Diceros bicornis minor: one gene and its partners. The protein of the gene in region 1 interacts with the protein of each later gene in a pairwise test. Links are inferred from orthologs where the notes say so. Each region holds a gene or a part of one and is shown on either strand. Other genes may lie near its edges. The genes, in order: TPM3, TNNT1, LURAP1 and LCA5L.

The links.
Region 2: the proteins of TPM3 (region 1) and TNNT1 interact in binary tests that used the Homo sapiens proteins (3 or more experiments, as listed by UniProt). The two-hybrid records come from large-scale screens. The link is inferred for Diceros bicornis minor from reciprocal best matches to the Homo sapiens genes TPM3 and TNNT1.
Region 3: the proteins of TPM3 (region 1) and LURAP1 interact in binary tests that used the Homo sapiens proteins (3 or more experiments, as listed by UniProt). The two-hybrid records come from large-scale screens. The link is inferred for Diceros bicornis minor from reciprocal best matches to the Homo sapiens genes TPM3 and LURAP1.
Region 4: the proteins of TPM3 (region 1) and LCA5L interact in binary tests that used the Homo sapiens proteins (3 or more experiments, as listed by UniProt). The two-hybrid records come from large-scale screens. The link is inferred for Diceros bicornis minor from reciprocal best matches to the Homo sapiens genes TPM3 and LCA5L.

The regions. Positions count from the first base shown.
Region 1 is NC_080743.1:58,274,146-58,281,471, reverse strand, and holds the start of TPM3 (tropomyosin alpha-3 chain), read left to right. Parts: upstream 1-4,264; 5' UTR 4,265-4,279; coding exon 4,280-4,393; intron 4,394-5,009; coding exon 5,010-5,135; intron 5,136-7,326. UniProt on the Homo sapiens protein: Binds to actin filaments in muscle and non-muscle cells. Plays a central role, in association with the troponin complex, in the calcium dependent regulation of vertebrate striated muscle contraction.
Region 2 is NC_080773.1:33,187,317-33,195,086, reverse strand, and holds the start of TNNT1 (troponin T, slow skeletal muscle), read left to right. Parts: upstream 1-4,554; 5' UTR 4,555-4,618; intron 4,619-5,808; exon of another isoform or gene 5,809-5,867; 5' UTR 5,868-5,878; coding exon 5,879-5,910; intron 5,911-6,020; coding exon 6,021-6,034; intron 6,035-6,378; coding exon 6,379-6,414; coding exon of another isoform or gene 6,415-6,435; intron 6,436-6,670; coding exon 6,671-6,703; intron 6,704-6,891; coding exon 6,892-6,942; intron 6,943-7,487; coding exon 7,488-7,509; intron 7,510-7,770. Other genes in the region: TNNI3 (troponin I, cardiac muscle), read left to right, coding at 57-125, 281-294, 426-609, 912-1,043, 1,523-1,612, 2,147-2,323, 2,952-3,035. UniProt on the Homo sapiens protein: Troponin T is the tropomyosin-binding subunit of troponin, the thin filament regulatory complex which confers calcium-sensitivity to striated muscle actomyosin ATPase activity.
Region 3 is NC_080752.1:9,099,153-9,106,301, forward strand, and holds the start of LURAP1 (leucine rich adaptor protein 1), read left to right. Parts: upstream 1-4,112; 5' UTR 4,113-4,242; coding exon 4,243-4,443; intron 4,444-7,149. UniProt on the Homo sapiens protein: Acts as an activator of the canonical NF-kappa-B pathway and drive the production of pro-inflammatory cytokines. Promotes the antigen (Ag)-presenting and priming function of dendritic cells via the canonical NF-kappa-B pathway.
Region 4 is NC_080766.1:39,373,919-39,380,980, reverse strand, and holds the start of LCA5L (lebercilin-like protein), read left to right. Parts: upstream 1-3,968; coding exon 3,969-4,290; intron 4,291-4,557; coding exon 4,558-4,704; intron 4,705-7,062.

The DNA of each region.
Region 1 (7,326 bases):
TCCAGCAGGCCCATCCCACCTTCACTTCTTCCATCTTCCCTCGTATCTGTGTCCCAGCCACCCTCTGCTGCTTCTATATGGGCAGTGTAGCCTGGCGATAGGAGAATAGGCTTTAACACTGGACAGCTCTCGGTTTGAATCCTGGCTCTGTCACTTGCTGTCTGTGTGGCCTTGAGCAAGTTACTTTAACTTTCTGGATCACAGTTCCTTATATGTAAAATGGAGATAATGCCTACCTCACTGTCTTGCTGTGGGGATTAAGTAAAGCACTTAGCAGAGAGGTGGCACATAATGCCCAATAAATGGTAACCCAAATGATGTTTTCCTGCCCTATAATAGTTTTTTCCCTTTTTATTTCCTCTCCATTACATGGCTGCCCCCCACCTCTCACCACACTCCCTCACCAACTCCTTTGATTCCTCTTTCCTCTGTTCACTTGGACCCACAGAACACCCCACCCCCTCTGCCTTGATCCCTGACCTTGGCCTCTGTCCCCAGGGCTTGTCAGTGCCAGGCTGACTCCAATATTGGCAGACTGGCCCCCTACAGAGCCCATGTCCTCTGATCCTCTCTGCCTACTCTGTCTGCTCTCATCACATCAACTGAGTAGTTCACCCTATTACACCCATCTAGCCCCTTTCCCTCTGTGGCTGGTGCCTTCTCCAGCTCCTCTGGCTCAGAAGGGCTTAGTCTTGTTTGAAATGGCTGTATAGAAGGTATTTCCAGAATAGCCAGAAAGCTTTCATCAGAGGTTATCTGATGTTTCTGCCTAGTTATGCCATCCAAAGTGTCCTTCTAAGAAAGCTGCTCCTCCCTACATCAATATTCCCAGTCTCTTCCTCTGTTCCCCTAGTGCCCTAAACACTAAAGTCCTTAAGGGCCGGCCCCGTGGCTTAGCGGTTAAGTACTCGAGCTCTGCTGCTGGTGGCCCGGGTTCAGATCCCGGGTGCGCACCGACGCACCGCTTCTCCAGCCATGCTGAGGCCGTGTCCCACATACAGCAACTAGAAGGATGTGCAGCTGTGACATACAACTATCTACTGGGGCTTTGGGGGGAAAATAAATAAATAAAATTATAAAAAAAAAAAAAAAAAACACTAAAGTCCTTTCAATTCCTGCTAGTCCCTTTCTCAGCCTCTTTCCCTCCAGCCTCTGGTTCTCCAAGGTAGTCAAGGTTCCCAGAGAAGGGAACTAGAACTTGGGGGGTAAAAGTAAGAGGGACGGTCAAGAAAGTAAAAATTACACACAAACTCCCATTGAGAGCCATAAAGGAACAAGGACATAAGACAACACCACAGGTGCCTACTTTGGGGGCTTGTATGCCCATTTGTTAGTCTTCCCCTGGAAGGCAAGAGCCAAACAACAAGAATTGACTGAGGCTTGGGACAAGCTATCGATCTAGATCAAGGGCACTGTGGAGCTGGTATATGTGTTTGTGTGTGTGTGGGGGGGGGCGGGTGGTGTCTGGACTAATGGGAACAAGGACACATGGAACAGGCCTGGGGGCTGAAGCAGAGCATTCTCCTCCCACCCCCACACTTCCACCCAAGCCCTCCACCCCACCAGTGCAGCTATAACCCGGGGTCCTTTCTGCCACAGTAGAGAGAAGCATCTGCCTGCCACAAGACATTCAACAAACCGGATTCTCTTTGGAAGAAAAATCCCTCAGAAAGGAACCAGGCTGGATCCCTGTGAGGGAAGACTCTTAGAGAAGCCAACCCAGGAGTTCTTGCCGTAAAAAGCCCCAGAAGAGGAGAGTCCTAAGGACAGCAGGCTGCTCTCTGGCACAGGGGGTTTCCTCCCTCACCCTTGATCTCCTCAAGTCTTAGTTTCAATTCTGCCAGGCAGGGGAGACCATAAGTCTTCTTCTCTGGAGCGTGCCAGTGAGACATGTCACTCTTCTCTTCTGGACATCCAAGGGTGACTTTAAGGAGGATGACTGGAGGACATGGGAAGAAGGTGAGAAGGGACAAGATGGTGGGAAGCAGCAGCCAAGCATTCTGCAAGTTTCTTGTGGCTACTTATCTGTAGTACTCAAGAGCAGGAGGGTTCCAGGATGGTGTCACTGAAAAGCCGTCAGCAGTCTTGTGGGGGTGATATGGAAAGCTTAGGAGTTCTGTTGGAAAGGTAAAGCAGGAGGACAAGCCCCCCACCCCCACCCCCAGAAAGCCTCAGGGCAGCTGGAAGGGAGTTGAGAGCAGGTGGCTAGGCTGACGAGGAGCTGCTGACACTGCTGATCCTCTGGGCGCTGGGGCCGTGACATCAGGGGGAGAAGCTCTGTGTAGGAGCTTTAAAGAAGGATAGGTGCCCGGACATGAAGCCCTGCCAGATATTCTCCCTGGTTTAAGCCAACGTGATCCAGCAAAGGCCAGGCACTGGTAGGAGAGGAGCTGAGACAGGGACGGCACGAAGGGCAGATGAGTAAAAGCCAGCTGTCTTGGGAGGCAAAGAGCAGGGTTTGGTGCCCTTCCCCAGGGAGATGGCTCTCCATCTAGCCATGCTTGGTGCCTGGTGTTTCTGCTTTGTCCTTTCTTTGCAGTGGGGGGAAGGCAGGTGACCACCACAGCTCTCCTGCCTGCTTCTGTGTGATATGTTTGATATTGGGTTGTTTAATTAGGAACCAACTAAATGTCAAACATATTCTTACAGCAGTGGGCACTTTGGCATCACACTCTTTACTACTTCAACCTCCAGGGCTCTGGGGCTCCTGTCTTTTTTACTGAACCTCTTCTTTCCAGGACCCCTTTGGAACACTAGTGGCTGCAACCTACGAGGATTTCAGTCTTAAACTGGAGGACTAGTGTGGGAGCAGGAGAGTGCTGGAATTTGAGTATCAAATCTTCCTATATCTTTCCCTTATGCTAGAAGGAATATATCTCTGATTTTCTCCTGTCCTTGTATTTTTCTCCTCCTTATTCAAACCCCCCCCCCCATTATCCACTGCTTCCTGTCCCTGGGACTTCCTTGTTCCTAGTCCCACAGTAGGGGGCTTTGGTTTCTCTGCTTTCCTTAAAGAGTCAGCTGATGGCGTATCTGCCTATCTACCTCTAGTGACTGGAAGCTCTCAACAGTGGACTTCAGTTTTGCCCTCTGCCCTGGTGGGTGTCTCAGCTACCCCATTGCTGGGGCTTAGTATTAACACTACCCATCTATCCTTGACATAATGACTAATTAGATCCATTTATATTCTTCCTTGATAGCTCTGGTCACCTTGAATAGTGCCCACCTCTCCTCTGGCATATTCTCAGATTGTATGGTGCCAGTGTACTGGGATCAACTGCCACTTGTCAGTAATGAGGCCCCAAGTAGAAGAATGAACATGGCCTAGAACTAAGCAGGGGAGAATAGAGCTGGTAATGATGATTATGATGATGAGCGTGGGGGGGTTGGGGGTAAGAAGGGAGCAGAGGGTGGGGAGACGAGAAGACAGCAACACCTTGGTCTATGTGGATATAGAAGTTCTCTTTAAAGATCACTATGGGAAACAGAGGACATGATCCTATCTAGATTACTCTGACCCTCCCCTGCTTCTCTCCCCACCCCTCTTGAAGCTCTGGGATGGCCTTCCAGATCCCAACCCTACCCTCTTACTCCATCCCTGTGGCTCTTAAGGGGGAGGAATGATGTCTCTCTGCCAATTAGAGACTCTCAAAATAGCACAGTAATTTGATCTGGAGATCTGGGGGAATTGTCAAGGATCATGAGTGACCTCCCCTCCTCACTGTCCCTCAAGCTCCCTGAATACCAGGAATCAAAAGGTAAAACTCAACCAGTGGAGTTTGATCAGCATCCAACACAGTCCGGGTGAGAGTAAGGGGGAAGCTGAAGGGCAACTAGGATCCGCTGAGTGAAAACTACCATTCTAGAGTTGCCAAAGTACCCTTCTCTATTTCAATATTCTCCCCTCCCCTCTCCCTGCTTTTTAAAAACACCCATAGAGCTGCCCAGAGTAAGTGGAAAGTTTCAGGGTCAGGGAAAGCCTCTCCCCTCCCCCACTTTCCATTGTCTAAAATCAGCCTCAGCTGTTCCCCCATTTTTTTTTTTTTGCTGGTGATGTCAGTCCATCGGAGTGGCTCACCCTGTATTCCCCCAGGAGAACAATGATGGGGTGGAGGGAGGTGGAAAGACCATATTAGGAACAAGAGGTGGAGCCATGAGCAGAGATAAAGGCTCAAGTCTGGGGAACTCCTAGACACTCTGCCAGCAGCCCCTCCTTTCTTGCCCTAGTCTCCAGTTCTCCAGTGTTCACAGGTGAGCCCACCAACGGCCACTGCTCACGATGGAGGCCATCAAGAAAAAGATGCAGATGCTGAAGTTGGACAAGGAGAATGCTCTGGATCGGGCAGAGCAAGCTGAAGCTGAGCAGAAGCAGGCAGAAGAAAGAAGTAAACAGGTAGGCCCTGGCGTTGGTCTCTCTTAGCCGCTGGTGAACACGACTGTGAGATGAAAGAGGGTTTGCACGCAAAAAGGCAGTGACCACTGGTGCCAGCTTGTTCTTTGGGTGGGAGGGACTCTGCTTCTTCCCCAGCCTCACTGGATGGGCAGAGGACATCTAGTGTATCTGCCTCAGACTGCCTGTGTGACCTTTGGAAAGTCAAGGGCCCCTTCTGAGCTACAGAGTGTCTGCTAGATTTAAGTGGGAGTGGATCATGTTTTGGAAGAATCCCTGATTTCTAGAAGAAAAGGTGGGAGCTTGATATGCAACATCTCTTTTTCCTTAAATGGAGTAACAGGCATCTACACCCTGAGATATTTACCATCCCAGGGTCTTAGATGAAAACCCAGCATGGCTTGGTCATCATCTTAGGGTCAGATATCAAAGAGTCACAGGCCAAGGACATAGCATAACTCCTGGAGCAGTTGGCTAGAAGTGACTGGGGAGAAGGTATGTCTCTCTGGGGGATGGTAACATAAAGGTTGGGCTCAGGGGTCTGTCTTAAGAGCCCAGGGTCTGAGCCTGCACTGTTGTGTACAGTATGTTTTGTGTGTGATTCTTGGGGCTCCTATAGCTGGAAGATGAGCTGGCAGCCATGCAGAAGAAGCTGAAAGGGACAGAAGATGAGCTGGACAAGTATTCTGAAGCTTTGAAGGATGCCCAGGAGAAGCTGGAGCTGGCAGAGAAGAAGGCAGCTGATGTGAGTATTGGAAAGATGGTGGGTGGGGTTAATCTACACACACAGATGTTCATGTTATTATGACTAAATTCCAAAGACACTTGGACATATACAAAGTAAATTCATAGAACACAGACATAGATGCCCCTATACATTTTTGCATATAACCACATGTTGGCATACCCTTGTAATGGCATAAATTTCTTTTTTAAAGACATGGAGAATTCTGATTTTTGTCTCATTCCCAACCCAGGAATTTAATTATCTTTCCCAGGACCTGAACAAAGGGAGGGGACTCTAAATCCAGATTGCTATCACTTATCTATCCCACCTCCTCCCCCATGCCACATTCTTAGCTTTCAAGGCTTGGCACGTAGATATGTGTATTAATAGAGAAACTCTCATCTCTCAACTCCCCAGCAAAGTCAGCTCAGATTTCACAATGGGACAAAGGAGGTCACATTGACGCTGGCCCTACATGGGTTTATTTGTCTTGGCCAATGTGGGCATCTGCCCTTATGCCACAGAGATGTCATAGTAAGCACTGCTCATAGGGCAGCAGAGAGGATCTTAGAATGATAGACTATAACAGAAATAAGAAGAAATCTTAGAGGGTAAAGGTATCACCACCAGACCTTACCCTGTGACCTTGACGAAATTACTCAGCTTCTCTAGGGCTGAATTTTCCCATTTGAAAATGAAATTCTCGGGGCCGGCCTGGTGGCACAGCGGTTAAGTTCGCGCGGCCTGGGGTTCGCAGGTTTGGATCCTGGGCATGCACTGACGTACCGCTTGTCAAGCCATGCTGTCGCAGCGTCCCATATAAAGTAGAGGAAGATGGTCATGGATGTTAGCTTAGGGCCAATCTTCCTCAGCAACAAGAGAAGGATTGGCATCGGATGTTAGCTCAGGGCTGGTCTTCCTCACCAAAAAAAAATGAAATTCTCTTTTCTTCTTCAAGCTATCCAATAATCACCTACTTTCCTTCATCTTCAACCTTGAAGTTTATCACAAAGATGAATGAGAGACCACATAGGAAAGACTTTTGGAAGAAAAGTAACATAGGAATCTTAATAGCAACAAAAGAATGTCCTGGTATTGATGGAAATAGATTCAGTTCTCAGCACTGAGTTAATAGGAAAAGTGGAGCATGTATTTTTTAAAATAGCATTTGGTTTTGGAAAATAGCTAGAGAGACAACGTGGGTCGTTCACAAATGTTTTTGGATTCTCACATTTGGCCTCTTTGCTGTTAGGTTTCTGATCTTCTTTTTGGCTTTCCCCCATTATCTGTGGCCCCAGGAAGTGGTGAGGGTTGTTGAGTATATCATGCCAGAGGTCAGAGACATAAAGTGGATCATACACATTATATATATTCATAGTTTCCAAAAGTTTAGGCCACTGCAAACTACTAATTCTTCCTTCTTGAAAAACTGCAAAAAACACAGGTTACCCCCAGGGCTTTGGGCAAGTGCCTGATGGCCTGCTGGAGTTGCCTAACTTAGATTCCAGGTATAGGCGGATAGAGCTCTCTGGTTCCAATAAACAGGCATCGAGATAGAAGTTTTCACAAACTGGAACAATGTCATGTTAATAACAGTATTATGAGATGTTGGGTAACAACTCTCTGGGAAAGTCCTTAGGTTGAAACAGTAGTTATGTGGACTTCAGGAGGTGTTTGCAGGAGCAACGAAAAGAACTAACCAGTCTAACCTGAGATCTTGGGAGACAAAGAATGACATAGAGGCTCCAGACAATATATCAATATCATTGGGAAGATAAAGGAACTTCCTGGGGATGATTCTGTCTGTCCTAAGCTGTTTTACACACATACACACACACACACACACACACGCAGCGTCATCCTCCACCTAGACAGAGTCTATTCAGTATATTCATTTGAAAGAAGCTTCTCATATTTATATAGGAATCCACAAAAACCATTTAAATATGTAATGTGTGGGTAAAAAAATGCACTCAACTTCTCTCCCCCTTATTAGCTTTCCCAACAAGTCAATAAGTACCCTCAGAGATATGTAGGAGAACAAGAAATAGGAGAGGAAGGTTGTGGGCAGGAGGCAAAAATCTGTTAGGCCTGGTTAAGGTGGAAGCAGGAAGAAAGGTTTTCTCAAAGCTTAGTAGTCAGCAAACTATCACCTGTGGGGTAAATCTTGCCACAGCCTGGTTTTGTACAAAGTTTTACTGGAACATTG
Region 2 (7,770 bases), on another chromosome or scaffold:
CATGGAGCGGGGCTGGGGGGTCCTGGTGGTGACGAGGCTCCGTTCCCCAACCCCAGGCGCCCGCCCCCATCCGACGCCGCTCCTCGGCCAACTACCGCGCCTACGCCACCGAGCCGCACGCCAAGGTGAGGGCGGGGCCCGCGCGGTGGGCGGGGCCGGGGCGGGGCCTCAGGTTACCCGCACCTTGGGAAGGAGGGGCGGAGCCAGGGCCTCAGTGGGGGCGGGACTTCGGTCATGGGCGAGCGGATGAGCGGCTTCAGGGGCGGAGTTTCTCACACAGCCGGGCTCGGATTGGTGAGAGCTGCCTATGGGTGGAGTTCCGTTGCCCGTGGGAACTGCGATTGCTTAGGGGATGGTGGGCGGTGCCTAGCCAGAGTCAGAGGCCCAGATTGGTGGATGGGGCTGAGGGGCGTGGCTTCCCGTAGTCTAAGAGCCGGAGTTGGAGGCAGCCCCAAATCTGGACCTGGCTTGCGGGGGGGGGAAGGGGGGGCTGCTCTGAAGTCCCTCCCACTGCTCACCTTCGGAACCCCGTCTCTGATCCTTCATTGCTCTGTGTCACCCTGGCAGAAAAAGTCTAAGATCTCCGCCTCGAGAAAACTGCAGCTGAAGGTGCGGATGGGCCTGGAGAGGGCGCCTAGGTGTCCTCGGGGGGGGCGGAGCTTGAAGGTTGGGGTGGGGCTTCGGGCGTGCGAGTGGGCGGGACTTGGCGTGGTGCGTTCCTGGGGGCGTGGCTTTGCGGCGGGGACCCACCTACGGGAGGGGCGTGGCCTTGGAATGGTGGACCTCGAGGGGACGGGTCTCTAAGGCGAAGGACGGGACTGGGATTCGAGGGCGGGGCGGGAGGAAGCAGCTTCCCCGAGAGCGCGGTCCTCATCCCGCTACCCCCGGGTGGGCGGTGGTCCACTCCGCAGACCCTGATGCTGCAGATTGCGAAGCAGGAGCTGGAGCGGGAGGCGGAGGAGCGGCGTGGAGAGAAGGGGCGGGCCCTGAGCACGCGGTGCCAGCCTCTGGAGTTGGCCGGGCTGGGCTTCGAGGAGCTGCAGGTACCGGTTCTAACCAGGGACTCTCTCTCAGCCCGGGGTCTGAGATTCCTACTCTCCGGTCTTGCATCCTTGGGACTCAGGAGTATAGGCACTATCCCCTTCTGCTCAGGACCTTGCGGTCCAATCTCCTAAACCTTACGTCGGGAGTTCAGAAATATGGCCTGCAGCTCCATGCTTGAGGGCTACAGTCTCAAAACCTAGAAGTCGGTTCCTGCAACTCGAATTCTGTCGGATTCTCAGGACTCTTGGCTCTGGAGTGCTGCTTTGTTCACAGTTCCCCAGAGTCCAGCTTCAATCTCCTCCCTCAGACCCAGGAGTCCAGGCCCCCAGCCCCTCCTCCCTCAGACCCAGGAGTCCAGGCCCCCAGCCCCTCCTCCCTCAGACTCAGGAGTCCAGGCCCCTAGCCTCTCCTCCCACAGACCCAGCAGTCTGGGTCCCCAGCCTTCCCCGCCCCACACACGCCACCGTTCCTCCACCAGGATTTGTGCCGACAGCTCCATGCCCGCGTGGACAAGGTTGATGAGGAGAGATACGACGTGGAGGCGAAAGTCACCAAGAACATCACGGAGGTGGGAGGCACTGGGCAGTGTGGGTCCCCTCAGGGTAGGGTGCAATGCCTGGGGCTGTGGTCTCAGCTTGCCCCCTGGCAGCTGCTTGTGGTTGCAGACACCAGGAGACCCAGGACAAGTCTGTGAGTCTGACAGGGAGTGGGCAGAAAGATGAGTACAGTATGCTCAGGGAAGGCTGTACCAGGCAGAGGGAACAGCACGTGCAAAAACCAGGAGGTGGAACAGTAGGAATATGCTTGTGGACATGTGTGGCTGGAGCTGAAGTGTTGGTAAATGAGCTCAGGTATGGGCCGGGGAACTGTGAGATGCAGGTAGCTGGACTGGGATGAGTCAGTGGTTTTCAGAGATGAGGCTGGGGCAGCTCCGGGAGGACTTCCAGTTCCGGAATGAGGAGCTTAGATTTTGTCCCAAAGGTGGTTGAGCTAGGGAGGGCCCGGATGCGGCCTGGATAGGATAGGAGGGGAGTTAGGGTGGAAGAGTGGGGCAAAGGGGAAGCAGAGGGGAGTCTCCACCTCCTCTTATGGCTGCCCCCAGATCGCAGATCTGACCCAGAAGATCTTTGACCTTCGGGGCAAGTTTAAGCGGCCCACCCTGCGGAGGGTGCGGATCTCTGCGGATGCCATGATGCAGGCGCTGCTGGGGGCCAGGGCTAAGGCGACCTTAGACCTGCGGGCCCACCTCAAGCAGGTGAAGAAGGAGGATACAGAGAAGGTGAGTGGGGCGAGGGCCAGGAAAGGGGGTGCTTAGAGGCGAGGATGTGGGAGGTGACAATGCCAGGGCCTGTCCTGAGGGCAGATGGTGCTTGGAGTGGTGGGGAGAAGTATCTGGTAAGGGTCCTCAACAGGAAGTACAGGAGGGACACAGGAAGTGCATGTGGGAGACAGGAAGTGCAGGAGGGAGACAGGAAGTGCAGGAGGGACACAGGAAGTGCATGTGGGAGACAGGAAGTGCAGGAGGGACACAGGAAGTGCATGTGGGAGACAGGAAGTGCAGGAGGGAGACAGGAAGTGCAGGAGGGAGACAGGAAGTGCAGGAGGGAGACAGGAAGTGCATGTGGGAAACAGGAAGTGCAGGAGGGAGACAGGAAGTGCATGTGGGAGACAGGAAGTGCAGGAGGGAGACAGGAAGTGCATGTGGGAAACAGGAAGTGCAGGAGGGAGACAGGAAGTGCATGGGGCAAATTGGAAGGGATTGTCTGAGGGGACAAGACGTGTTCCAGAACCAGGTTCTGGGACAGGCGTCCAGAATAGAGCAGCCCAGCAGGCTGGAGGGCAGCTGGAGGATATTCGAGAGATTGTGGACCAGGAAGAGACCCTAACCTCTGACTCTATTCCCCCAGGAAAACCGGGAGGTGGGAGACTGGCGCAAGAACATCGACGCGCTAAGCGGAATGGAGGGCCGCAAGAAAAAGTTTGAGGGCTGAGCTGGCCTGCCCACCGCTCTGGCCCTGAGGATGGCCTTGAGGAATAAAGCTTCTCTCTGAGCTGGGAGTGGCTGCGTGTCTCCTACCCGGGGGCTTAGGGGTGACAGAGATGGGAGACCTGAGGGCAGAGCTCCCCGAAAGCCACACCACACGCGAGGAGCTGAGCTGGGTCTCCAATATGGGGCGTTCTAGGCTCCTCTGCTCCACGCGGGCTGCACAGAGATGCCGAGACCAAGGCCCAAAGAGAGACAGAGACACAGACAGACAGACTGAGTCAGAGACAGTTACACAGAGCCAGAGACCCAAGGAGAGAGGGGGAAAAGGACAGAGAATCACAGAAAGAAATGCAAAGAAATGGAAAACAGAGAGACAGATACACACAGCGAGACAGAGACAAGGGAGACCCTACAGAGACAGAAACAGGGACCAAAGAGGAACAACTGCAGAGACACAAAGAGAGACCCCCAGAAAGAGCCAGAAAGATAGAGACATGGACACAGAGCCAGAGAGACAGAACTGGGGTCACAGACAGACATGCACGAGAGACCAGGAGACACAGACACCAACAGACAGACCCTGAGGGAGGCAGAGACGCAGAGACAAAAACATGCCAAGAGACATGCAGAGTGAAGAACACAGAGACAGAGAGAGACAGAGAGAGTCTGAAACAGAGAGCCAAAGAGACACCGCTGAGAAATGCATAGAAGACAGAAACAGAGATGGCAGACAGTGAGACAGAGACAGCAAGAGAGAGGCAGGGAGGGCGAGGAGTCCCGCTCTCCAGGGCCTGCTCCCCCACCCTTCAAGGTCACGGCTTGGCAGGGAAGCGGGGAGAGGGATACCAAAACAGACCAGTGTCAGATGGAGGTGGGGGGTGAGGTCCCGCGGGGCTGACACCCCACCCTCTCGCCTCCCCCGACACACACCTGTTTCCCAGCTTTAGTGCCTGTTGTCACCAGGGTGGAATCCCGGTGGCAGACAAAGGGGTGGGGGTGGGGAGGAGAAGACAAAGAGGGACAGAGACAGAGGGGGGAGCCTGAGAAGCAGAGAGAGATGCACAGAGACCCACAGACGGAGAGTCATAGAGACAGAGAAACAGGGTGTGAGAGGTGGAGGGCCAGAGAGACACAGAAAAAGTGACAAGAGCCATGCAAAGAGAAAGTGTCCCTTGTCCCCCTTTAGTCAATAAGCAGTCTCCAAGGGCCTACTGTGGGCTGAGCATGGGGACTTCAAAGCACAGGGTGCCCTGTGCTGTAAGGGAGGGGGGAGCCCCGGACCCAGCCCAGGGTTCCAGGAGGTGCTGATGGGGCAGAGGAGGGGGGTCCGAGCAGCCAGCAGGTGCCTGGATCCTGCCATGTGGAGCCTGAGTGGGGGCAGGGCAGCCTCTGACTGGGGACTCCGGTTTGGGGAAAGGCATTCTCTCTCCCTCCCTCTCCCCCCTCCCTCTCCCCCCTCCATCTCCCCCCTCCATCTCCCTCCTGGGGGCGGGGCTGAGCCTCCAGCTATAAACCCAGGGGTGCCTCAGTGGGGCCCAGCAAGACTCTGCCCCCGCCGGTTTACCGCCTCAGCAGACCCAGTCTTAGGTAAGGGGCCCTGGCCCTGCGGTGCCCTTGGGGGAGGGGCAGGAGGGGAGGGAGATGAGGGGTGTGGAGAATACGTATGGGGAAGGAGGGGGCAGGAAAATCAAGGTCTGGGAATTCCAGAGGCTCAGACTTTAGGGGGACTAAGAATGGAAGGGAAAGTGTTAGGATTTGGGTGTTACGGGATCCGGTGGTGCCAGGATTTGGGGAACAGAATATAAACTTAGGATCTCTCAGAGTCAGGGAATCTCAGAAATTGGGGGTATCTGGGCTTGGACGTCAAAGAGTCTGGGTGTCAGGATGGGGGTGGGTCTCAGAATCTGGGATTTTAGGAACTGAGGTCTCAGGATCTGAGGTCTTATGATTGGAGGCATCACAATTTGGAGTGTCATAATTCTGAGTGTCATGAACTGGGCCTCTGAGTTGGGGTATCCAGATTTTGGGGTCTCATGATCTTGAGGTTTCAGAATTTAGGGGGTGTCAATACCGGGGGGTCAAGATCTTGGGATGTGTCCCGGCCCATACTCTGGAGAGTCAAGAACCAGAGTGTCAGAATGGTCCTCAGAGAGCAAGAGCATCATACACTGGGGTCTCAGGATCTATGGCTATTGAGATTTGGGGGGACTCAAACTGGGCACCTTGGGGCCTGGGGGATCTCAGAGACTGGGGGCTCTAAGTATTTAGGGGTCAGGATGAGGTCTGTGGACAGAAGCTGCCCTCATGCCTCCTGCCCCCTCCACGGCTGTGGGTGAAGGTGAAGGAAGGAGACAGGTGGGAAGATGACCTGCCAGAGGGGAGGGGGGACTAACTCTCCCAGAAGCCCCCCCATCCCTTCTTAGGAAATGTCCTCTGTTTCACTGGCTGCGACATCCCCTCAAAATAGCCCCTGGGGGTGGGGCAGCTATTGTCTTCAGGCCACTGTCCCTTCCCAAATACCTTCTCCTAATCCCCACTCAGATCAGGTTCCCATGGACAGGTCCTAAGACAAAAGATGACAGCTGTGCTGAGGGCGTGGGGGCTGCAGGCCTGGGGCTCTGCCTGGGCCACACCTCCCAATGCCCTGTCCTCATGCACACTCCAGGCCTCTGGCCCCTCCTCCCTCAGACCCAGGAGTCCAGGCCCCCAGCTCCTCCTCCCTCAGACCCAGGAGTCCAGGCCCCCAGCCCCTCCTCCCTCAGACCAGGAGTCCAGACCCCAACACCCTCCTCCTTCTGGACCCCACCCCATTGCGTCTGTTCTCTGTGGTCCGTAGGTCACACCAGGATGTCGGAAACGGAAGAGCAGGAATATGAGGAGTGAGTGATGCTGGCGGGAGGGGCTGGGGGTTTGGAGAAGAGGAGACACTCTCCCACCTCCAACGCATCTAACTTTCCCCCTCCCTCTTTCCCTCCCACTCGGTCCTCAGGGAGCAGCCGGAAGGTGAGTGGACGGTGCGCTGGCCCTGGGGAGGTGGGAACACCCATGCGCGTAGCGTATGGGAAGCGCGAGATGGTGCGGCCCCTTCCCAGCAGGGAGCCGGGGAGAGAGGCGGGTTAGCCCACCCCGCCCGACGCCCACCCTCTGGAGCGTTTCCAGGAAATCTCCCACGGCCAATGGGAAAAGCGCACGGTGCCCATTTGCACCTGAGGCCCAGAGGGGTCCCCCCCGCCCAGCTGAGACTCGAAGACCGCTCTCTGGCCACCCCCACATCTGAATAAAGGCCCAGCCGCCCCCGGCCCCCCCGGGCTCCTAACGCCCTCCCTTCTCTGCCCCGCCCCTTCCAGAAGAGGAGGCTGCCCCCGCCGAGGAGGAGGAGGAAGGTGAGGCCCTGGCCTCAGCAGGTCTGGAGCTGGACGCGGGGCCCCGCCGGGCCCGGGTGGGGTGGGGACACTCGTCCAGGGGTGGAGGCTGGCGGGGCACGGGGGTCCCGAAGGCCTCGGCTTCAGTTCCTTTAACAGCCTCTCCCCTCTCTCCCCTCTCTCCCCCTCCCGCACCCGGCGTGGCCGCTCCCCCACCCCGCTCCCTCCCCCCCCCCGGCTCCCCCAATCCTCGCTTCTCCTCCTGCCCCCTCCCCAGCCACCGAGGAGCCGGAGCTGGTGGCAGAGCGAGGTAATCGCGGCTGCTTCGCTTCTCGAGACCGATTTCGGGGGCCCTGACCTCCGCGATGACTCCCTCCCGCCCCCATAACCCGCCCCAGGCCCGGTCCTTTAAGCCCCGGAGCGCCCGCGCGCCCTCTGGTGGCCACGAAGGGAAAATCACCTCGCAGCGGCTTTAACCCTTTCCCTTCCTTCTTAAAGGGACCGACACCCAAGCCTTCTTCCCCAGCCTGGAGGAATACTTACAGAAGGGTTGGATGTTTGCGGAGGGGCACCACCCCATCCCCCCTCATCTTCGCCCCCTACCCTGTCTGTTATTTTTCTTCTCCATATACATTCAAAGGTTGGGGCCTAGGTTGCAGAAGGGGCTAGCACTGGGAGTCCGGGTTCCTGTGTCCCCAAGGGGGAGGGGACTGGGAACACAGCTCCTGGGCCACCGATAGAAGAGAAGGTTTGGGGCCCCCCTGCACTGCTAGGTCTTGTTGGAGGAGGGCAGGAGCTCTGGGTATGTACAAGGAGGAGGGTCTGGGGATTTGGACCCTTGGGTTCCCAGGAAAGTGGGAGGGGATCCCCACACCAGTTCTGAATGTATATCTGATGCGTGTGATTCTCCTCCTCCTTCTGGCCACCCTGATTTCCCTTCTCTCCTTTTCTCCTTTCCTGCCCCCCCCCCCAGAGCAACAGGAGGAGGGAACTGGGCTCCTGGGGACTGAGGCTTGCGGGGGTTCCCTTCTCTGGGTGTGTCAAGCCCATCCCCATGAACTCTTGCTAATTATCTCTTTGTATCCCCCCAACAGAAGAGGAGCGCCCCAAACCAAGGTGAGATCTTGGGGGGGGTCCCAATCACGTCCTCCTAAATGTGTCCCCCACCCCCAGAGATAGGGTGTGAGAAAGGCAGAGGAGGAGAGTGGGGAAATTGAAACGGAGGACAGCACAGTCAGGGTTCCTTTTTTCAGCAAACATTTCCCGAGAACGTTCCACCATGTTTGGCGAGTCAGGCCCTGGTTGCCCTGCTGGTGAAACAGACCCAGATACAGTGATGGTGGCCCAGGGTACCGGAGCGGCACAGAAGAGGGCCCT
Region 3 (7,149 bases), on another chromosome or scaffold:
CGGTGGAGGCCAAATAATCGGCTCTCAAGGTTCACCAGCCCCTAAAAGGCCCAAGACCCAGCCTTCTCAGTCCTAGAGCGGGCACAGGGCAGCGACCCACCCCCCCCTCCCCGTCCTCCGTCCTCGCCCCCTCCTACGTGACCCAACTCTTCTCCTCCCGGGGCTCGGGGCTCCCGACGACTCGGGCGACCTGCCCTGGCCGCGTCACCCCTCCAAGACCCCCGCCCGGAGGCACTCACGGCTCAGGGGCCGCGAGCCTCGCGGGAGCCCCGCTCGGGCCCGCACGGCTCGGCCCGGCGCGCCGAGGCCTCCGCCTCCTCCATGCCGCTCGCGGCCCCGCCCCGGCGCGGCCCGGCCCGCCTCCCCGCTTCCGCCGCCGCCGCCGCCGCGGGGTGAGAGGGCGGCGGGCGGCGCTTAGGGCGGCGCGGGCGGTCTGCAGCCCGTGACTCCGCGAGCGCTCGGAGCCGCGGCCGCTTCGCGGGCGGCGGGATGGGGGCTGCTGGGGGAGGGCAGCCTCTCCGCCGCCATCACTGCCGGATGGCAAAGCGATGCGAGTCGGAGTCCTAGAGCCTTGGACCAGACCCCACGGCGCTCCGGGGTCAGAGGGGCGACAAGCCTGGGACACAGCGACCCTGGCCCCTTGCTTGGGCGAGGCTTCTCCCAGGTCTGGGGCATGCAGGGCCTTTGGAGGCCGAGGGACATTAAAAACCTGATTCTGCTAATCACCTAGACCTTGGGCAAGTCACTTCAGGTCTTGGCGTAGGTTCCCTTCTCTGTGAAATAGGGGTGTGCTGATATGATGCAGACTGTATGCCAGTCAGTTTTAAACACTTTACTTATATTAACTCATTTAATTCCACAACAACCCCATGAGGTAGGTACTATTACTAATGAGGCCCAATGTCACCAAGCTGGGAGAGCTAGAATTCAAACCCAAGCGGCCTGGCTCCAGAGTCCACTCTTAACCCCTGCACCATAGTAATACTTAGAGAGTTGATGTGAAGGTTACATGAGATAATACATATAAAGCAGTTAGCTTAACACAGTGGTTCTTGAACTTGAGTGTGCATCAGAATCTGTTGGAGGGCTTGTTAAAACACAGATTGCTGGGGGGCTGGCCAGGTGGCGCAAGCGGTTAAGTGCGTGTGCTCCCGGGCGCACATGGACGCACTGCTTGTCAAGCCATGCTGTGGCAGCCGCCCATATAAAGTGGAGGAAGATGGGCATGGATGTTAGCCCAGGGCCAGTCTTCCTTGGCAAAAAAAAAAAAAAAAAAGAGGAGGATTGGCAGATGTTAGCTCAGGGCTCATCTCCTCACAAAAAAAAAACACAGATTGCTGGGCCCCATTCCTAGAAGTTGATTCAGTAATCTGGGGCAGAGAAGAATGCTGCATCTTTAAGAAGTTTCTAGGTGACAGTGACACTTATTTGAAGTAGGTAGCCATGGAACAGTTTTAAGCAGGAGAGCAACATAATCTGATTTAAAAGAACTTTTACCTTTTTGTGGAGAATGTGCTAATAGGAAACAGGACGCCAGAAGACCAGTTAGATTTTTCTGAGCTCTCCGTAGTCCATCTGTTTTCTAAATGGTGGGATGATATCCCCCAAAATGTTAACAGTACTTGTCTTAGGAGTTGAGGCAATAGGTGATTTTTCCTAATGACTACGTATTAGAACAGAAGAAAACTCAATACATTTTGTTATCATTTGAAAAAGATGTCCCTCAGTGTTCCTCCCTGACTCTCGTCTCTCCTCAAACTCAGTCTCCCTGAAGATCTCATCCCCTCTCCTGACCTCGGTTACCTTCTTGATTCCTAGACTCATATCTGCAGTCCTAACCTTTCTCCTGCGCTCCAGGCTGACCTGTGTCCAACTGCCTGCTGGACATCTTCACAGGCCCCTCCAACTCAACACGACTCCTGCTGGAATCATCTCTTCCCACTCCTGGACCTCTTCTTGGGCTCCCTTGCTTGGTGAATGGCCTCAGGCCAAACAGCTGGGAGTCACCCTTGATTCCTCTTCTCTGTTCAGCAACCAGTCCACGTCTGTGTGCTCATCACTTTATTCTCTGCACCACACACAATGGCTAGCACATAGTAGGCTCTCCATAATACTTATTGAAATCTGTCGTTTTTTGAACAAATATTTATTGAATGCCACTATAAATAAATGAGTGTAATTAGTCACCAAATCGTGTCAATATTACCCCCTAAAGAGTCCTTCATTCTGGTGTCATTCTTCTCCAACCTCACAACCAGCCCCTGGTGCAGTCCTTTTCGTTTGCTTGCCTTCCAACTGCTCTCCCTGACTCCAGATTTTTACTCCTCCAATCCTTTCTTCTTGCAAAATCCAGAGTAATTTTTCAAAAAAGGAAATCTGTTTTGTCAATCTCTGATTTAAAACCCTTTCATGAATCAAGAGATGTTAAGGAGAAATATATTACTTAAAATTACGAAGGTAGGGGCCGGCCCGGTGGCGCAAGCGGTTAAGTGCGCGCGCTCCGCTGCGGCGGCCCGGGGTTCGCTGGTTCGGATCCCGGGCGCGCACCGACGCACTGCTTGGTAAGCCATGCTGTGGCGGCGTCCCATATAAAGTGGAGGAAGATAGGCACAGATGTTAGCCCAGGGCCGTCTTCCTCAGCAAAAAAAGAGGAGGATTGGCGGATGTTAGCTCAGGGCTGATCTCCTCACAAAAAAAAAAAAAAAAAAAAAAAAATTACGAAGGTAACCATTGAATGAACTAAAAATAATGATAGAAATAAATAGGGCCAATGGAAGAAGGGAAGTAAGGAGTGTAAGTAAGGTAAGTTGTATTTATCATAATAGGAAGTCAGTAGACAATTTTTAAAATGAAGAACTAGTGATACAGTATAAACCTATGTGGTGTTATAGGTATAAACACCAGAAAAAAATAGCTAAAAGTGGTTGCCTCTGGGGAGTGGGACTAGAGGTGGGAAAGGATAGGGCAGGGGTAACTATGTTTTCATTGTAAATCCTTCGGTAACCATGGACTGGAATTACTTGGATTAAAATCCAAAACCAAGCCAAACCATAAAAAGTTTTTCATGGCTCCTCATTACCTGTGGAATAAAATCTAAGCACCTTAGAACCATTTTCCATTACCTTGTTGCTCAAAGTGTGTTCCCTGGACCAGCAGCATGGCCATTGCCTGAGAGCTTGTTAAAAATGCAGAAGTCCAGGCCTCACCCCAGATTTACAGAACAGTAATCTGCATATTAACAGGATTCTCAGATAATTCATATGCACAGTCAAGCTTAAGAAGCATCAGTATCAAGATCACGTATGATCTGGCCCTTGTGGACCTCTTCAGCTTCAATACTGGTTGCTCCTCATTGGCCAGAAGAACTTTCCTTTCCACTCCTTTAGTCTAAATTCAGTGGCCAGGGGCCGGCCCGTGGCTTGGCGGTTAAGTGCGTGCGCTCCACTACTGGCGGCCCGGGGTTCAGATCCCGGGCGCGCAGCCACGCACTGCTTCTCCAGCTGAGGCCGCGCCCCACATACAGCAACTAGAAGGATGTACAACTATGACATACAGCTATCTACTGGGGCTTTGGGGAAAAAAAAAAGGAGGAGGATTGGCAATAGATGTTAGCTCAGAGCCGGTCTTCGTCAACAAAAAGAGGAGGATTAGCATGGATGTTAGCTCAGGGCTGATATTCCTCCCCCAAAAAATAAATAAATAAAAAATAAATAAATAAATTCAGCGGCCACACTGTGGGTGTATGCGTGTGTGTCAGTGACTAGCTAAATTCTAATCACTGTTTTAGACCCAGCTCATCTACTCCAGGAAGCCTTCCAAAACCCTCTGCAGCTCTTTTATCACTGTTCCTTAAATTCCCATAGCTCTAACTGAGGATGCTTAGCCTTCATTCAGCAAACATTTATTGGGCGCCTGCTGTGTGCCTGGCTGGATTCAGTGCCAGGGTAGGGAGAAGGCGTTCAGCTCTCCGAGGGCTCCTTCAAGTCCAAACCCAGAATCGCCCAGCCGCACGCATTCCAGGGCCAGAGGCAGCGTGCGCAGCACTCGAATATATATATATACACACACGCAAACAGTGTCCTGCGCGGCTTTTCTGAGCGTTACGGCGCCCTCCTCCCGCCCCTACGCGGCGCGGGCGGGGACCCACCGGTTCCGCTCCGCATTAGCAGCGGAGAAAGGAGGACCCCCGGGAGCGGGATCCCGGCGTCTGGCCGCCCAAGCCCTGTTCAGGCTTAGGCCCGCATGGAGGGGACTGCGGAGTCCCAGACGCCTGACCTGCGAGACGTGGAGGGCAAGGTGGGCAGAAAGACCCCTGAAGGGCTGCTCCGCGGGCTGCAGCGAGGCGAGTGGGAACCGGGAACCTCTGGCGCCCTGATGCTCCCGGGGGCGCCGAGGACGGGCCACAGCCTGGGGGACAAGATCGTGGCGCTGAGGATGGAGCTGGTGAGTGTGGGCTGCACCTGCCAGAGGGACGGAGCCCCCCCCACATAGGACCGGAAGGGACGGACTCACGCCCCCAGAGTTGGGCTGGAGAGGAGAGAGTTAAAATTCCCCACCTGACTCCTCAGGATCCCTCCCTGATCAATCCTTACACCCTGGGGTCCATTAATTACAGACCCCCGCACCCCCACTCCCACCCCTCACCCTCACCCCAAGGATGAGTGGGGTATTGATGGGTCCTGAGGACCTGGGGTGGGAGGCACAGGTTTTTGGAAGTTTTTCCTGCCAAATAATTGGGAGGAGAGAGGTGAGAACTGGGACGCCCTGAGAACCTAGCACAGCACAAATCTCCCCCCTACCCCTCACTACCGGGCTGCCTATCCCCCAGCCACCATTACAGGGCAACCAGTTTTTTCTCCTCCTGCAAATTGGGCCCAGGGTTTGTTCCTCTGAGGCCCCGGTATTCACACAAGATTCAGCACAGAAGGGATTTGGGTGAAAACTGCCTGGACTGGGGCCACCAAAAACATCCTCTCTCCCCAACATCCCCCCACACCCACTTAAAGTATTTGAAAGTTCCTGGAACCTTAGCAGACAGAGCAACAGCACCATCAGTGTTGGCCCGGTCACTGACTCAGTCTCTTCCCCCCAGCTCCCCAGGTACACTGGATATTTGGATCTCGTCTGTACCTCCTTGGGGAGAAGAGGAGGAAACAGGCACCCTCCCCCTTCCCTGTTGCTGCTGGTCTAGATTCAGAGCCAAAAGGGCACTTGGGGCCCCCCCAGGCTCCCTAGGGCCCTGGTTCCGGTGAAGGGGCTGATTTACATCTGCCACCACTTTGCAGCCAGTTCTGGGGAACTGAGGAATTGCCAGCCACTTTCTGGCCCAGAACCAGGAGCCCACAGTGAGTGTGTCAGCCAATAGATCTTCCTGGAGCCCCACTGTGTGCCCAGCTCTGTGCCAGGCTGAGCTGTGAGGGAGCAGCAGGGGTGGGTGGGGGGAGGTCATGGGGTCCCAGACAGCTTGAGAGGCTGGAGAGAGCCTTGTGGGCAGAGCAATCAGGGAAGGTTCCTTGGGGGAAGGATTTGAATGCCATGTGTGCACTTGGCCTTGAAGGTTGGAGATAAGTGCCAAATTCTCCAGAGCGGGGCTGTGACTGTGTCCACCCAGGGAGGGGCCTGGCTTTGCCTCATTGTACTTTTAGCTGAAGGCCTAGAAAGAGCCTATCTAGAGTGTCTTGCTTTGGAAACTAACTTTTACCAAGTGCATGTGCCAGGCATCATGCTGAGCACTTGACAAGATGTTCTTTTAATCCTCACAGCAACCTATTGGGTAAGTGATACTTTATAGATGAAGAAACTGAGGCACAGAGAGGATGGTAACTGCCCAAGGTCATATAAAAAGTAAAAAGCAGAGCTAGGCTTTGCACCCAGATGATCTGCCTACACTTTGCATCTTTCCCATTGAGACCTGCTGCTTTGTACCAGACACTTAAAACACATTTTATGTCATTGAGGTGAGAAAAGCAGTCCTCATATTCCCCGTCTCACAGATGGAACATGCTGGCGAGTGTTAAGGGGCTTGCTTGAGTTCCCACAGGCAGCCAGTGGAGGAGCTGGGCCTGGGCTCTAACTCTTTCCTGCCTTTGGTGGAGATCACCTGTTTGTAAACTTTAACCTAGTACATTTAACTTCTGATTAGATCTCTCTGCATTCTTGACCCAGCCTGGCCTGGGGCCCTGATTAGGTCTCTCCGCATTCTTGACTCAGCCTGGCCTGGAGCCCTGGGCTGTCCATGAAGGGCATGAGGGAGAGAGCCTTCTAGGGGCTAGAACAGGGTCGGGCTTCTTATGTGCCCCAAGGATCCCTGCCCCATTCCTATCTCCCTCCTTGGGCCAGGATGTCATTGATCTCTTTGCGCTCTGCCCTGCCCACTGGGTTGCTCCTGGGGAGGACAAGGGGTGGGCCAGGAGGTTTCCCTTGGAGCCGCTTGTGGCAGAACCGGCCCAAGCCCTCTAAGTCCTGTCCTTCAGCTGTCCCTCTCCTGCAGGGAGGGGGCAGGCCTGCCCTTGAGGCCAAGGTCATCCCTGCCTCTAGCCTCTTCCCTGCTGCTTCCCTCCCCTACTCAAAGGTCTAGTGAACCAGCCAGACTCTGAAATATATGGGGAGTGGAAACAATGGCAACCTCTGGCTACTTAATCCTCCCACCCAAAAACTGCTGCTATGACAACCAGCCCCCACAGAGCAGTTTGAGGAAAAGCTTTAGGCAAGGAGGGGGAAGGCTTGGGTTCAAGTCCTGGCTCTGCTCCTGAATCATTTTGTGATCTTGAGCAGGGCCCTGACTCTCTTGGCCTCAGTTTTGGTGCTTCTTGGGGGATGCGGGTCAGGGGATTATGGGGCCAGATGGTCTCTAAAAGCCTTCTTAGTAACAATAGTCTGGGCATCTCAATCCACGACCAGGGAACTAGGGCTGGGAGGATCTCTGGGCTTTTACCTCAGGGCCTGATTTGGATTGAGTGATGTGGGAGCCATGCTTGTGACCTCAGGGCTGGGCAGAGAGTCTGATGTGGACATGTTAAGGGGAGGAGTGAGCAACCTGAATCCCCCTGGGAAGAGAATTGGGTTGGAGTGGCCTCTGAGGCTGCATCTCTCCTGAGCTGTTTATCCCGTTTCCAAAGAGATGGTGTGAAATGAGTGTTTCTTTTTCTG
Region 4 (7,062 bases), on another chromosome or scaffold:
CTAAGGTATGTAAGCTCCTACCTCTGCGCTTGGCATACGCAGGGGGTGGTCGGGGGGTGATTATTCAAGCATTTAAAAATAGTGGTTGTGTGGCAGCACTATGCTAGGCCTGAAGTTACAACAGGAACAAGACACACCCTCTATCTTCAGGGAGTTTTCAGGCTAATGGGATTACACAAGCATTTGTTCTCGCTAAAACAGTTGATGGGGAAATAGACTGACTCTTGGTTGCATCTCTCGAAGACACTAGCAGTGCCCTTGCAGTCCTGGGATTTGGCACAGAATGACTCTTCCAGGAGGGGAAATTAGCATGTGTTGATTGCTGACTGTGTGGCAGGTACCGGGACGGGTGTTTTACAAGCACTGTCTCATTTCCCCTATGATAACCCTATGAAATCCATGTCGTTATTCACATTTTATAGATGGCCAAGATCACCTGATCTAATAAGTGACAGACCCAGGTTCAAACCCAAGTCAATCTGCCTTCAGTTTGTCTGTCACCTTCTACCCTGTCACACTCCCCTATGGCAGCTGTTGAAAAATTTGTGACTATAACATGAAAAACACTCTTGACGTAAGCCTTCATCCTACAATGAGAAGATTTCTCAAGGGAGTGCTCTGAGGTGGGGAAGGAGGAGGAAATTCTTATAGGGCTTTCTCAGGAGAGGTCAGGCCAAGTTTAGCTTGTGTCAGGAACAACTGGTCAAAAACAAATTCTTCTTACAGATTAGCAACCAATGTTTGGGCAATTTGAATTTATTAGGATGGGTGGGGAGGAACTTAGGGGATAAGGGCATGAGCAAGAAGGCGTGGAGTGGGACAGTTTCCAGGACAAGGACAGATGAGGCTTTGAGTGTGACATCCAAGCATTTTTGGTCCTTCAGGGTCTCTTACACCAATATCTGGGTCTCTTAATCCTGGTGCAAAAGTTCAAAACTAAAAATGTTTACCTGTGCTTCTGCCCACTGTCACATGGTAGAACGTGTCTGGAAAGATCAAGTCTTTGATTTAGGATTGTGTAATGTTACCACCAGGGTGTAGTTTGCAGTCAATGCTTAATGAAAACACTCCTGACCTTGAAGCTGGAAAACATGGGCAATCACTTAACCTGTCTGAGCCTGTTCCCTTCTCACAGCCAGGATCAGAGGATGTGAGCGCAGTTTGTAGAAAGTCAAAGCACGTTAAGTATTGAGTATAATGCTAATATTACTAGTCAAGTGATTTGGGCTAAGATTCCTGTAGGAGGAAGATTATGAACTGCCTAACATATTTCATCAGGAGAGGAGAAAGCTCGAGAGTCAAGCAGATGCAGAAGAGGCAGAAACTGATTTAAAAAAAAAAAAAATCTCTCAGTAGAGAGAGTGATATTAGATTCCTGTGGGGAAGGAGCTGACGCCAGCTAACTTTTTTGGCTTTTTTGATAAATCCGGAGAATTGAGAGTATTAAATGGAAAAATAACCCTTTTAAAGACCCCAGGAGATGGATTCCTTTGTTTCCAACTGCTCTTGAGGTGGGCTGACATAAGAGAGACCCTGGTGGCATTATTGTGCCTCAGTGCTGTAGCACTATAAAGAATGCAGAACCGTCAGGTTTGTAACGAAAGTCAGGTTTTATTGAGGGCGTACATTTGGGGTCCTTCTTGTGTTTGATTTCCTGTTCTCTCCATTTTAAATTCTCACTTCAGACAACTAAGAGGCTTATCAAAAGTATCAAAAGTGTGTGCACGTTGGAATCCACTGTTTCTAAATTATCAAGGATAAGGGCTAAGCGAAAAGTTATTGTAGTAGCCGAGCTCTCTTGGAGATGGACTCATTGTTCTTCATATGAAACTCCTGGATTGTTAGGGAGTGTGCCTTTAGCTTGAGCTGTCTTCTCTCCCCGAGTCCTCAGATCAAGACAAGAAGCTGAGTGCAGTGTTGCAGACCTTAGGGGGCACGTGTGGGAGAGTCTGTGTGAAACAAATAGGAGAGAGACTGTCATCTAGCCTTGTTTGTCACACAGATTATTCAGTTCAGTCGAGTTTAATACTAGTGCCTATGCCCTATACCAAGAATTTAAAAGTAAAATGGAAGTAAAATACAATAATTTTTTTTTTCACTGAATGTTAAGCAAGATGCTAGGAGCAAAAAGCTGAGGAGTTATTTTAGCTACCTGGAACCCTGAAGCAATCTGGGAAGCTGCTTTGGGGAATAATTCACCAAACTAAAATCCATAAATGAAGAACTACTATGTTTAAATTACTTTAAAACTGTTCTTAGTTATAATCAAATCCACCCTAAATAAAAGAAGTGTGACTCTGTAGAGGTCTTAATTCAGTACATTTTTGAGTCATGGTCTTTGGTTACAAGGACTTTCAACTATGTGGTATTATACGCCCCTGATTAGAAATTAGGATCACACCGTCAAATTTCATTTTCATTTTTAGCTTTTGTCTGTGTGTGTGTGTGTGTGTGTGTGTGTGTGTGTGTGTGTGTGAGAGGAAGATCAGCTCTGAGCTAACATCTGTTGCCAGTCCTCTTTTTGCTGAGGAAGATGGGCCCTGGACTAGCATCCATGCCTCTCTTCCTCTGCTTTATACGGGACATTGCCACAGCATGGCTTGATGAGCAGTGTGCACACCCGGGATCTGAACCCACAAACCCGGGGCGCCGAGGCAGAGCAAGGGAACTTAACTGCTATGCCACCGGGCCAGCCCCCTCATTTTTAGCTTTTAAAACACATTTCTTTGAAGTCTACTCTAGTTTACTCTTGTTTAGTTCCCAAATAAGATTTTAACTTTTCACATTGTATAGTTAAACTTATAATAATTAGGCAAACTTAGTTTTGATTTTTCCAAATCCATTATTTATAAAAGTTTGTGTTTTGTGTAGCTGAAAATATGATCAGTTCTTTATTAAACAAATGTAAAATTTCCATTTGGTGGATTTTCTTCCAAAAGGTTCCAATCCCTGGATGATTTTCCCATGTAAATCATGTTTTTCTGAATTGTCTCTTCTGTCGTCATGTAGTATATAATCAAGGAAATCATATTCATGTTATAATAGTCTAAATAAAGCATAAAAAGGAATGCAAATTTCCTGAATTAAAATATAAAGAACCTTATAATCATGGATCAAGTTTACATCACTGTTACCCACTATTACTCTTAATTTTAGAATAAATATTAGCTCTAGAAACCTAGTAGATTAATTGATTATATTCTACTCTATATGTTTAATCTCAAAAGTATGTGATTTCATCATTAATAAATAAAAGTGTGTGCATCTCCACAAATATGTCTGAATTTCATTTACTAAATGTTGCATTTCATACCAGCCGCCTAAACTTACCACATACTGTCATTTTCTTCAGTTCTGATCAAGGCAGAAAATCCCAATGGCCAGCCTTAAAGAATGAGAATGGTATACCTGAAATTACACAGTGTTATAAGCCAATATGACCTCAATAAAATAATTAAATTTTAAAAAAGAAAACAAGGGGCTGGCCCGGTGGTGTAGTGGTTAAGTTCACACACTCCACTTCGGTGGCCTGGGGTTCGCAGGTTCAGATCCCTGGTGTGGAGACTGCTCATCAAGCCATGCTGTGGTGGCGTCCCATATACAAAATGGGGGAAGATTGGCACAGATGTTAGCTCAGGGCGAATCTTCCTCACCAAAAAATGAAAAGTAACAGAATGAGAAGGTAACTCACTAATTCATAAATTATTAGCGATATTATTTTCTGATATGAACTTGATCTTGTAGTACTGTGAATATAATCTCACCAAAGTTTGGTCTCAGGAGTCTTATAATTTATGTAGAAAAAATATAAAAACCAAACTGAAAATTTTTCAGAAAATACTTCAAAGTAATGTGTTGTTTCACATTCCTAATTATCCATTTAGAGTTAAACATAACAAAGCATAGATTCATTTTAATGTCAATAGCTATAAATCTAAACATACTTTTCTTCTATCAGGTTGTTTACTATGTCTTGGGCCCATCCGACAGAAACAATAGATGAGCATTTCCCCAGTGTGGCATTAGAAAACCGTACAAGGTCCGCAGAGTGCACGACCTGCCCGGACACAGGCGATTGTCCGAGGAACAGTAACGCTTCCAATAAGAGCGTTGATTATAGCCGATCTCAGTGTTCCTGCAGAAGTTTAAGTTCTCGCTACGATTATTCAGAAGACTTTCTCTCTGAATGTTCAGAAACAGCTGTCAATAGAAATTATTTAGAGAAGCCTGCGGTAAAAGAAAAAGAGGAGAAGAAAAAGTATAATGTTTCTAAAATCTCCCAACCTAAAGGTAAGAAGCAGAATTTCCCAACCGAGACCAAATTTCTGGTTATAACAACATTGCTGTTTAATTCACTAGTATTTGATGTGGTCCATGTTCTGTTTCATTATTTTCTCATATTGTAAATGTGTATTATAAGTGAACATTTATATGAGGAAATAGAGAAATTAAGAATAATTACAAAATAACAGAAAGTTGGGCTTAAAATGTAAAACCTAGCCCTCTTGCATGGCTTACACTGCTGGAGCCTACAAGTGAGGTTAGTTCCGTTTTTAGTTAACAGGTGGCCTTGTTACAGAGTACCACAATACCTGGATTTCAGTGGCATCTTGCCTTTCATCTTAGCTGAAGAATCAAGGTTTGAATCGCCAAAGAAATATAAATACCTGTCTCAACTCCCCAAGAAGATGGTCTCCAAGTCCGGTGAGGCATAGTGGCAAAGACAATCTTTTGAAACAGAGGTGGTTCAAAAAGCTATTAGTAGGGTCATTTCTTTGTGGATTTTAAAAGTACCAACACCAAAAAAAAGAAAAAAGTACCAACACCATCAACTTGTAACTGTCCAAATTGGAATTAGCCTTGTGATAATCTTGATCTCCTCACTCCCCACCTCCCTGCCCAGAATGTGACTACTTCCTCCCATTTTAGGCAATCCTGGGCTTATAAATATTCCTTGTGTAGAAATAGCTGGGACTCTTTTCCACTGTGACCATCAGAACTGCTGTCAGTCAACAGCTGGAAAATAGTTAAGAGCCTCCGATGTGGGGGGCACATCCACAGTCACATTTATCCAGTATCTCTCATCCCCAGCCTGCTATGACCAGGTGTGCCTAGCACCACCTGGGCTACTTCTAGATCCTCTAAAATCTTCAGTTCCCCTTCTTCCTAGCTATAGAGCAGGGATTCTTTATGTAAGACCCATGTCTATGAACCCCATGAAGTTCTATGCATTTTTGTGTCTATTTGTGTTTGTGAACTTTTCTAGGGAGAAGGACCCATAGCTTTCACCAGATTCTCAAAAAGCTACAGGCCCCTTTTCTAGAGACGTGGGAGTCGTACACCCACTGGCAAGGCCTAGGACAGGAGATGAAAAGTCCAGTTCCTTCTCTCACAGTGGGACTCTGTCCAGAGAAGTCTGTTCATGGTATCTGGAAGAGAGTTTCACCACAGAACATACACCGTGGTTAGGTTTTACAGTTACCCAATCCCTTAGCTGCATTTGAAATTTACAAAACTCTGAAAACCAAACATTTTTCATATCTTTGGCACCAAAACTGACTTGGCAACAAAAACTTGATTTGAACTGACATGAGACTGATCTTTGTTTATCTCACTTACTGTGAATAGTCATATGTTTCACTACAAAAATATTCTTTGATTAAAGTCTGCTGTCCCAAACCCTACTGGGAATACTCTGGAAAATACCATATATGCACCATAAAAAATAAACCTCTAAAAATTCAGAAACAGTCTGGCCACAAGGGTTTATGACAAGAGATCATGGATCCATACACTACATTTTATATAGAGTCTAGGCTTTTGTGGGACTGTATGAGATTTATAAAACTATTTCTGTAAGAAATGAACTGAATTTTGAGTTCTAAGCACCTTATAATTTAACTTGTTAAAACTGTTTCCTCATTTATTTATTCCACAAATATTTATTGTGTCTTTTATGCAAGATACCTGGTCATAAATTAGGAGCAACCTAAATTAATTCAGTCACTTCACACTGGACTAGAATCCTAAGTTCCGTTATCTGAAGAGTGAAGGTTTGTTCTCACTTTTTTGTGAGAACTCTTTTGTGGTACTCTTTTGTGTACAAATACTCTGAAATTATTTGAAATAAATCTTGGATGCATCTTTAACTCAAATTTTGTATGTCCCTGAGGATCCTTGCACCAGGGTATGATGTACTTAAAACACTCATTGTAACATCAAAGCTTTGTCACAGAATGATAAAGTATTTCCTTGGTTCATTCTTTTGTTCCCTTACAGCTCATGTTTCGCAAGAGTTTGCCAAAGAAATTTAAGCAGCAAGTAATTAAGTAATTAATTAATTCTGGGGTAATATAATTCTAACTCAAACAAAGAGGTTTAATGTTCTAGCCCATGCAGCCCCTTCTCGAGTGAATGTTCCGTGTCTGTTCAGCTTCCTGATATATTAAAAGTAAATCTCTGACCTTGGGGGCTGGTAACCCCAGATTGTGAACCACCAATACAGACCCAGAATTCACGAGAGAACAATAACATCAGAGATTATTTTCAGTTCCCCTCTTAGAAAAGCAAATTTTATGGCAGAAAAATATTTCAGAGAAAAATTGTAAGAATACAATGAGGACTTCAATTTGATAGGATTTTTGCTTTGGTCAGATATTGGAGATTTACTTAAATAGCAAGCAATATATTTCTACAATTCGATTTTCAAAAATTAGTTATTCCTTCTTTTGTAGAAAATGTACTTTCAGAACTCTTTTGATTATATACCCTTCCTTGATGTGTTTTGTCAGTACAATGCCAAAACCTGTGATTCATTCAAAAAATTGGTATATCAAGAAAGAAGTCATTTTGCTGCCTTTAGTTGCTTGGGACGCCTTTTGCCCTGTTGTCTGTAGTCAGGTGTAGGCAGAAGACCTCAGGGAGCGCCGAAGGGACTCCCTCTCCAGCAGACTAACACCAGGAACCACAGAGAACAGAAAGGGGAAAGGCCTTCCTTTCAGCCTCTTCTCACCTGGTCCTTGGAGGAAGTGGGCCATCTCTTTTTAGGTGAAATACAGTGTT